Zea mays: one gene and its partner. Each later gene encodes a partner of the first gene's protein in a complex. Links are inferred from orthologs where the notes say so. Each region holds a gene or a part of one and is shown on either strand. Other genes may lie near its edges.

The links.
Region 2: structural maintenance of chromosomes protein 4 (region 1) and condensin complex subunit 2 share a complex: the UniProt entries of both Arabidopsis thaliana proteins name them as parts of the condensin complex. The link is inferred for Zea mays from reciprocal best matches to the Arabidopsis thaliana genes SMC3 and EMB2795.

The regions. Positions count from the first base shown.
Region 1 is NC_050101.1:167,828,560-167,832,379, reverse strand, and holds part of structural maintenance of chromosomes protein 4, read right to left. Parts: coding exon 3,793-3,820; intron 3,589-3,792; coding exon 3,458-3,588; intron 3,359-3,457; coding exon 3,280-3,358; intron 3,201-3,279; coding exon 3,043-3,200; intron 2,967-3,042; coding exon 2,891-2,966; intron 2,716-2,890; coding exon 2,587-2,715; intron 2,503-2,586; coding exon 2,358-2,502; intron 2,283-2,357; coding exon 2,152-2,282; intron 1,895-2,151; coding exon 1,742-1,894; intron 1,622-1,741; coding exon 1,432-1,621; intron 515-1,431; coding exon 375-514; intron 292-374; coding exon 133-291; intron 27-132; coding exon 1-26. UniProt on the Arabidopsis thaliana protein: Central component of the condensin complex, a complex required for conversion of interphase chromatin into mitotic-like condense chromosomes.
Region 2 is NC_050098.1:234,338,878-234,342,797, reverse strand, and holds the start of condensin complex subunit 2, read right to left. Parts: upstream 2,339-3,920; 5' UTR 2,254-2,338; coding exon 1,969-2,253; intron 1,879-1,968; coding exon 1,777-1,878; intron 1,649-1,776; coding exon 1,531-1,648; intron 1-1,530. UniProt on the Arabidopsis thaliana protein: Regulatory subunit of the condensin complex, a complex required for conversion of interphase chromatin into mitotic-like condense chromosomes.

The DNA of each region.
Region 1 (3,820 bases):
GCTGCAGTGTATGCAATTCGTGAAGCCTGACAAAGACAGGTGCTGAGATACCATTAATCACAGCACAAATTACAACTACAAGCAACTACGTTAGTAGGAAAAAGTTTAAGACCAAACAAATCAAGGATCAACCTGATCAAGATCATTTGCAACAACAGTATTCCCCAAGACATGGAAGAAGGCTAACTTCAGCTTCTCATCTTTAACCTTTACTAGATCAAAAAGGCGTGGAACTCCTTCAGGTGTTTTTACTTTCTCCTTAATTTTGTGAAGGAGGTGTGTTTGTTTTTCCTGTAACATAAGGTTCCAATTACAAAATGAAATTAACAGGTAAAAAAATGAAAACAAATAAGCACAGAAAAAAAAAGTGTTACCAGGATTAAACAAGTTACAGTTTCCTCACGGTTCCTTCTACGTAACAACTCAATACAAGCTTGCGCCGAATTTATTGTTTCAACCACAATATAATTAAGCCCAGATGAAGCTGATGTTGATATGGCCACGTCATATTTTGCTGCAGACCAGAGTTTCTAAAAAATTAAGATCCACAAATGCTTCATACAAGCTTTCAATCAACTCTGTATGATTGCATAATGACATTCGCGGATTCTAGCAGATACAACAATTGCTTAGATATTGGTGGCCATGGCTTTACAAACAAAATCTCCCTAACGGAACATACTAAAATGGAAGAATTAAACTACATAAATACTAATCCGTTTTGGCATGGTCAAAACAAAGTGCAGGTATTTGTCCTTGTTAGACTTTGTGTTGTGTCTGTTAGATTATTGGTGTGGTTACTGGCTTACTGCTGTAATGGCCGTCAGGTAAGTTTGAAAGTCGGCCAGTCCAGGTTTCGGGGGCCAGACATTGTAGCCGCACTGGCAACACGAAGTCGGCTTAGTCAGCTTCTGGGGGCCGCCTAGTCAACCTTGACGACCTAGCCTTTGATGAACGGCCTGGCCTGCTTTGCCACTATGGTTCCTAACCTGACCAGGTTTGGCTATCAGCCTGGCCGAGTTTGCTAAGTTCGTACCATATTCTCCTTGTTTGAGAAGTTCAGTGTTACCGAAATTACTATATATAGAAAAATTATTCATAACAGTTTATAACCGTTAGATCCACCTATTAAACATAGGGGTGTTTGAATGAACTAGAGCTAATAGTTAGTTGACTAAAAAATAGCTAGTGAAATTAGCTAGCTAATAAATATCTAGCTAAATATTAGCTAATTTGCTAAAAAATAGTTAATAGTTAAACGATTAGCTAGACTGTTTGGAACTTTGGATGTCTTCAACTAATTTTAGCAACTAACTATTAGCTCTAGTGCATTCAAACATGGCTTTAATATGTGCTGCCGAAGACATAACAGTTAGGCAACACATATCACAGGACATATTTGATTTTGTGGGCAAAGGGAGTATATCTTACCATCAATTGCACCAAGATCACCAAGCCTGCCATAAATCCCTTGTATTTCATTTGATTCCTTGGCTTGCAAAATTGCCTTCAGAGCAGTACTTTGGTTCTTCTCAGAATCCCTAGTGGTTTTCATCTCTGCAACTTTCTGCCTTGCTGCTTGTTCCAGAGGGATCAGTGAATCCTCCTGCTTTTGGCATTCCTGCAACAAATTTTGCAAGCAATACATTCAGGAGACTCAGCATACTGCACGTAAGTAATGACTAAACTTAAGGGAACCCAGTGCATGGGTTTTGTTCAAATTAAGCTGGAAGTAATTTACCTGTTCGATTTTGCGAGCTTCAGATGCTTCATTCAAATGCTTCTCTATTTTTTCTTGAAGCCCCACAATGTATGAATCCTTTGTTTTAACTTTCTCCTTTATACTTTCCATCTGATTTTGTGCATCAGTTAACTCTGCTTGTGCTCCATCATGCTGAAATCAGGGAACTAGTTTCAAACGTAATTGACAAGTTTGAAAAAAATCAAATTAATGTTTATCAAATAAACTAAATGGATAAGTAGATTTAATTATACAAAGCTTGCAGTGTCAGTGTCAGGCATGGTAAGCTATCGCACATAAAGAATTGAAGATATTTTGCTTGTGATCAGTGCATCATATATCTCCATCTAAAGGACTCAAAGTGAATTGAAGTACTTGACAGCAGTCTTCTTGTTTCCCAAAAAGTCTACCTTTTGTTTCATTAACTTTTTCTCCGCAGATGCAACATCCAACCTTCCTTTATGTTCAATAATTTGATTTTCCCATGGTTCAAGCTCAGTTCTTACTTGAGTAAGTTCAGCACGAAACCTCTCAGTTTCTTCTGTAATTACAGAAGAATAAAGTTCAGTTATCAGAGAATGATTCGGTGAACATGGATAGTAAAAGCTAACATCACCTCGAGAGGATGCTTTGATCTGCTCTAAGACTTTCTCTTCTTCATTAAGTCGCTTTTGCAATTTGGGTATTTCTGCCTCCAGCTGTGGAATGAGATTGGATGACTCCTCCATCTCTTTTGTTTTTTCATCACGTTTTGATGTATCCTGTGTTAGATTGTAGGTGAAACAATAGCCAGTCTTGCTTCAACTTTAATTTCAATGTTACAATTGAAACCGTTTCAGTATTACCTTTTCAGCTTTGTCATCCAGCTTCTTGATGTTCTGCTTAAGATGCTTTAGATCTTCCCTGTATTTTACGTCTTTCCTCTCAAACTCTTTAAACTGGTCTTTGCAGCTCTTCATGTTATTTTCAAGGTCCTAAAGACATAAAAGAAGCAAATAAAAGTAGGGCGCTATTAGTTGACTGTAAAAGGCCCATTCGCAATAACCTTGTGATAGAAAATAACGAGTTTTCTAACCTTCAAATATAGGAAATAAATGACTTCAATTCAATGATTGATTAGGTTACAGATATGGTAAGTTGAAACAATACCTCTTGCCTTTTGACATGTTTACTGTAAATAGCCTCCATTTCCTTCAGAGTTTGTGAATTCTGGTGTATCTTCTCCCTGTATAATAGTGAATATGCTTACTCAGAAAACATGTAAATGGGAGGGGGGACACTGTCCATCTGTAACAAATAACCTTTCAGCGGCAAGATTCTTTTCCAGGTCTGCCACATTCTCCTGACACTGATTAACACGTGAGATAGCATCATCAGAAGCCAGCTTCGTTGCCTTTTCTTGCCATTTCAGAAGCAAAAGTTCCTTCAGCATGTATGTTTCAGCCTCATTTTTTGCACTCTACAGAAAAATAACTCCATTAATAGTGCTTAACTGTTAAATGGTCAAATAGTGAAATCATAAACAATTAGATGATCACCTCTAAACTGTCTCTTTCTTTCTCAGCTAATTTTAGCATCTGCACTGATGCTGTTCTCTTTTCATTGAGCAATTCGAGTCTAACAGATCCATAACAAGGTAAGAAACTAAATCGTTGCTAAATATATACAAAGCACTAGTTATAACAGCATGCATTAAAAATTATGTCAGAAACTCACTGCTTGTACGCTTCTTCAATTTTTTCAACATACTGGTTTGTCCCTATTATGTCTTCAAGATACTCTAGAAAACCTTCATCATGTGGACCTTGAGCCTTTGGTTTCATTAGGGAGATTTGCTCAACCTCACCCTGTATAGTGCCCACTTCAGAAGTTATGCAATTGTAAAAGTAGAAAACATAATTGAAACTGCACAATAAATTCATGCAGGCTCAAACAAAGAAGCTATGAGAGATAAGTGGAGATGCAAGTGATGGAACCAAATCTCAAGAACCTACAAATTACACTTTAATTGTTTGTCTTATCCATGTGTATATGTGAAGAACACACAAAACCTGGAGGATGAGAAAACGGTTATTATCA
Region 2 (3,920 bases), on another chromosome or scaffold:
AAACAGGAGTGCAAATAGGGATGGCAAGGTGGATTTGGATCAGGTGGAGACTGTGGACTTGAACCCAGAACCCAAAACCACCCCAAACACCGTTTCAGGTGATAATCCAAACCCAAAACCAAACCCAGTGGATCCAAAAAAACCAAAAACCACCACTATATAGCAATATACAAAAGACATTAAGGAATTTCTAGTAACTCATGCATGATACATATTACATATTCACATATATAAGCAAAAGGCAATAAAGAACAAATAATTTCATGACTCAACTTAGAATAAACTTAATAGCTTACATAAACAAATTATTAACAAAACAAATGAGTTTTTACTTAAAATGTACTATTTTGGACCTCCATTATACATCCGCGGGTGGAAACCAAACCCAATAAAATTTGGGTCCCTAAACCCGAATCCACTGGACCCAAAATCATGCAGAGCACTGACCCAAAACTGCCACAGTGCCATCCCAAAGTGCAAAACAGTGCTTCTCAAATTTTAAGCACAAAAACAGTAAGAAAACAGCAAATGTTCCCAATTTCATAAACAGTGTTTTGCAGAAGGTTCATAATCTGTGAGTGCACAGGTTGTGTAAAGCTGTGTAACATATCAATGTAAGTTGATCAATTTCACCCAAGGAATACCAAAAAACAGGACAGTTCTAACATGGGTAACAATGAAAAGGTTTTAAAACATATTTAATCTTCCAATCAAGTTAGTGCCTGTTTGGAAGCATGTCGGTTTTTAAGAAACCATTTGCTATAAACTCGTTTTTAAATAAAAATTGGGTGAGGGTGTTTGGAACCCGGTTTCTAAGAAACCAGTTTCTAGTTTTTTGCATATGCATTGACTAGCCTAACCTTCCTCTATTTTAAAAAGTGGTGGCAATAGATGTAAATTCCATGAAATAAACAAGGGAATAATGTTATTAAACAGACAAAATTTGGTTTTAGCTAGGGGATGCAGGCTTCTTGGTTTTTAAGAAACTAGGAATCCAGTTTCTATAAACTAGAAACTAGGACATGAACTAGTATTGTTTGGAAGTACTCCGGTTTCATAAACCAGTTTCTAAAAACTGGGTGCTTCCAAACAGGCCCTTAGAACAGTGACCTTTCCATTAACTCATAAAACCACACTGCATGCCAACTTAGGGGTGTTTGAGATTATAATCCCAAACAAACACCCCCTTACTTTAGAGTTTTTAACTCAAGTTTAGTGATACCCAGCATAGACCAATTTGCACTGGATGAAGACAAAAAGCAAAAAAAAAAGTGCAGTTTTTTTCCTTTCTCCAAATCTTTTTCGTCAAGCACCAAACCAGAAGACCATAATGAAGCAGCATAGATTTCCAGCAAAATCATGAACCTATCATGTATAGGTCATTCTTTTTGAATTTGTAACTCGAGCAATTCAGCCATACTCGGCATAAGAGCATGTAATTTGCACTGGATACAGCTCCCTAATAAAGAAGTAAAACTGCAATCAAAGTGGTACACATCAGAATCCATTAAAATTCCAGTGCACCCTCACCAGCCTCTTCACCCCTTCCGGCACGGTTTATCCCACCAAGCACCTTGTAAGCCTCGGAGTGCACTGAATCCACACGAAGTGAATATATCTTGACCCCCGCCTCCAGTGTGCAGCTTGCCTGTTCCATAAAAGTACCACATTATTGCCAACAAATTCAAATACAGTAGACGAATCTCCCTCTAGACAAATTTGTACTAAGAAGGCTACAAAGAGAGGAGGAAATGGGAGATCTTTGCAGGTCGGTACCTTCTGAAAGTTGGTCTCCTCGTCCTCGTCCACCCCCGCTTGGATGATCTCGCTGAGATGATCGATTAGGCCTAGCTCCCACGTGTTCTTCTGGTTAATTTTCTGCCGAAATTTCCCCAGAAAGAACGCAACGAAGAAGCTTAGCGAGAGGAATGGAGCGGGCTAGGTTTAGGAGGCGGGCTAGGCACCTACGTTCTCCGATGCGAGCTTGATACAGTTATGGAAGAGGTCCATGACCTGCTCGCGGTTGAGGAGGTCGTGGCGCGGGTCCTTGGAGGGCGCAATGGAGGCGGCGAGGGATCGGCGGCGGACGGAGGCGGCACGCGCCGCCGCGCGGGCGCGGGCGCGTTCTTGCTGGTCGTCATTGGATCCGAGCGGGAACGCTGGAGGCGGAGACTGCAGCAGCACCCGCGACCCGGCCGCCGTCCAGCGCGCGGGAGGGGGGGTCTGCGGTGGGGCGTCCTCGGCCGGCGGCATCTCGTGCGGTCGACGGCGGCGGCGGAGCGGAACGGGACAGGATGGATAGAGGGGGTTGGGTAGGGAAAATTTTGGACCGTCGTTCGGGATCCCTCCCAGTCGTGATTTCAAATTTTGGGGGCGGATGCGCTGCGGTGCGGGAGCGGGGCCAGGGATGGGGTGGGTACTGTTGCTTTGGTTGAAAAGCAAGTAGAACGGAACGGTTATGTTCTAGTTTTGTTGTTATTTGATTACAAAGTAACTAGAACGGAGTAGCTCCAATTAAAGAATATTCTCCTTAGATTCAGAACCATCCTACTCCAAAAAATCAATGGGACGGAGCTGCTCCGTTTCCAGCTCGCTCACACAGCTCGCCCTCCCATCCGTGCGCAGCAGCTCACGCGCCTCCCTCTGCAACCAAACAAAAAATAGAGCCGCTCTGTTCCAGTTCACTCTACAACCAAACAAAAAATAGAGTCGTTCCTTTCCAGCTTACCAAACATAGAACAGAGCGCCTCCGTTCTAGAATCAGGGATCGAACAGCTCTGTTCTACTTGTCTCCTCAACCAAACACTACCTTTGTACTCCTTTTGTGAATTTCTTTGTGCGTCAAACGTCCCTCCAACTCAATTGTGCACAGCTTTCGTCAACTGCTCCTTCCACTCGCGCTGACGCCTACGTGTAACCGTGGCTCCTCTTCCTTGAGACCCTGCCCATTTCAAACTCACCCTTCCCCTCGCCCCCGGCCCCCACTATCTAGATATAGCCAAACGGTTAGAAAACCGGGCCAAAACATCCAAACATGTTGGCTCGTTTTCTTATCCGAGTCTGGCCCACTGCGGGCCTAAACGGATCGGACCGAGTCGGTAAGCACGAAAAAAGCGGGCTGAAAACAAGCTAAGTGGGCTGCTAAGCACGGTTTAGTGCAAAAAAAGGGCTTGACGGACTTAGAGGTAAACGAGTCGTGTCGGGCTAGCCCGTGGGGCTTAGTTTCCTGTCTGGGCCCGGCCCGCTTATTCATGTCGGGCTGGCCCAGGCCCGTATAAAAGTAGGCCAAACCGGGCTCGCATCGGGCCAAAAAACATGCTTCGGGTCGAGCTTTCATGCTAAAGGCTTTCTGTACATCTATACCGCTATCGGGTGCACCCTCCCCCTTGCTCATTCGATCATGCGCGAGCGTTGTCCTGCGTCGTGTCCCTTTACTCCTCATCCTCGCCCTCTACATATTTACACTCGTTCAAACCACTAATCCAAAGCCACCAGCCAAAGGTGCGACCTTTGACCCTGCACCAGTGTCGTGGTCATAGACGCCATCGCCTCCTCCTCCACCACCGCAAATGAGAGAAGCTCCACGAATGCGTCAACCAATCTATCATGTCTCCAGTTATCAAACCAAAGGGGGACCGAACGACCATCCGCCACTTTAACTTTGATATTGGAACAAAAAACTAGAAGTGCTTAGAGCGCATCACGCCACCAGAAGGGACATTTCTTTTGGACATTGGGAAACCTCCCCCGGCGGTAGTGATTACTCAAGACAAGATCCACCGAGGACTGATCAAGTCTATTAAAGGACTTGTTAAGAAACTTCATAAGGAGAGCCTAATTGTGGTGCCGCATGTTGATGACTCCAAGTCCTCCGACACACTTTGGTCTAGAGACCCAAATCCTACACGACAAGAGCATGC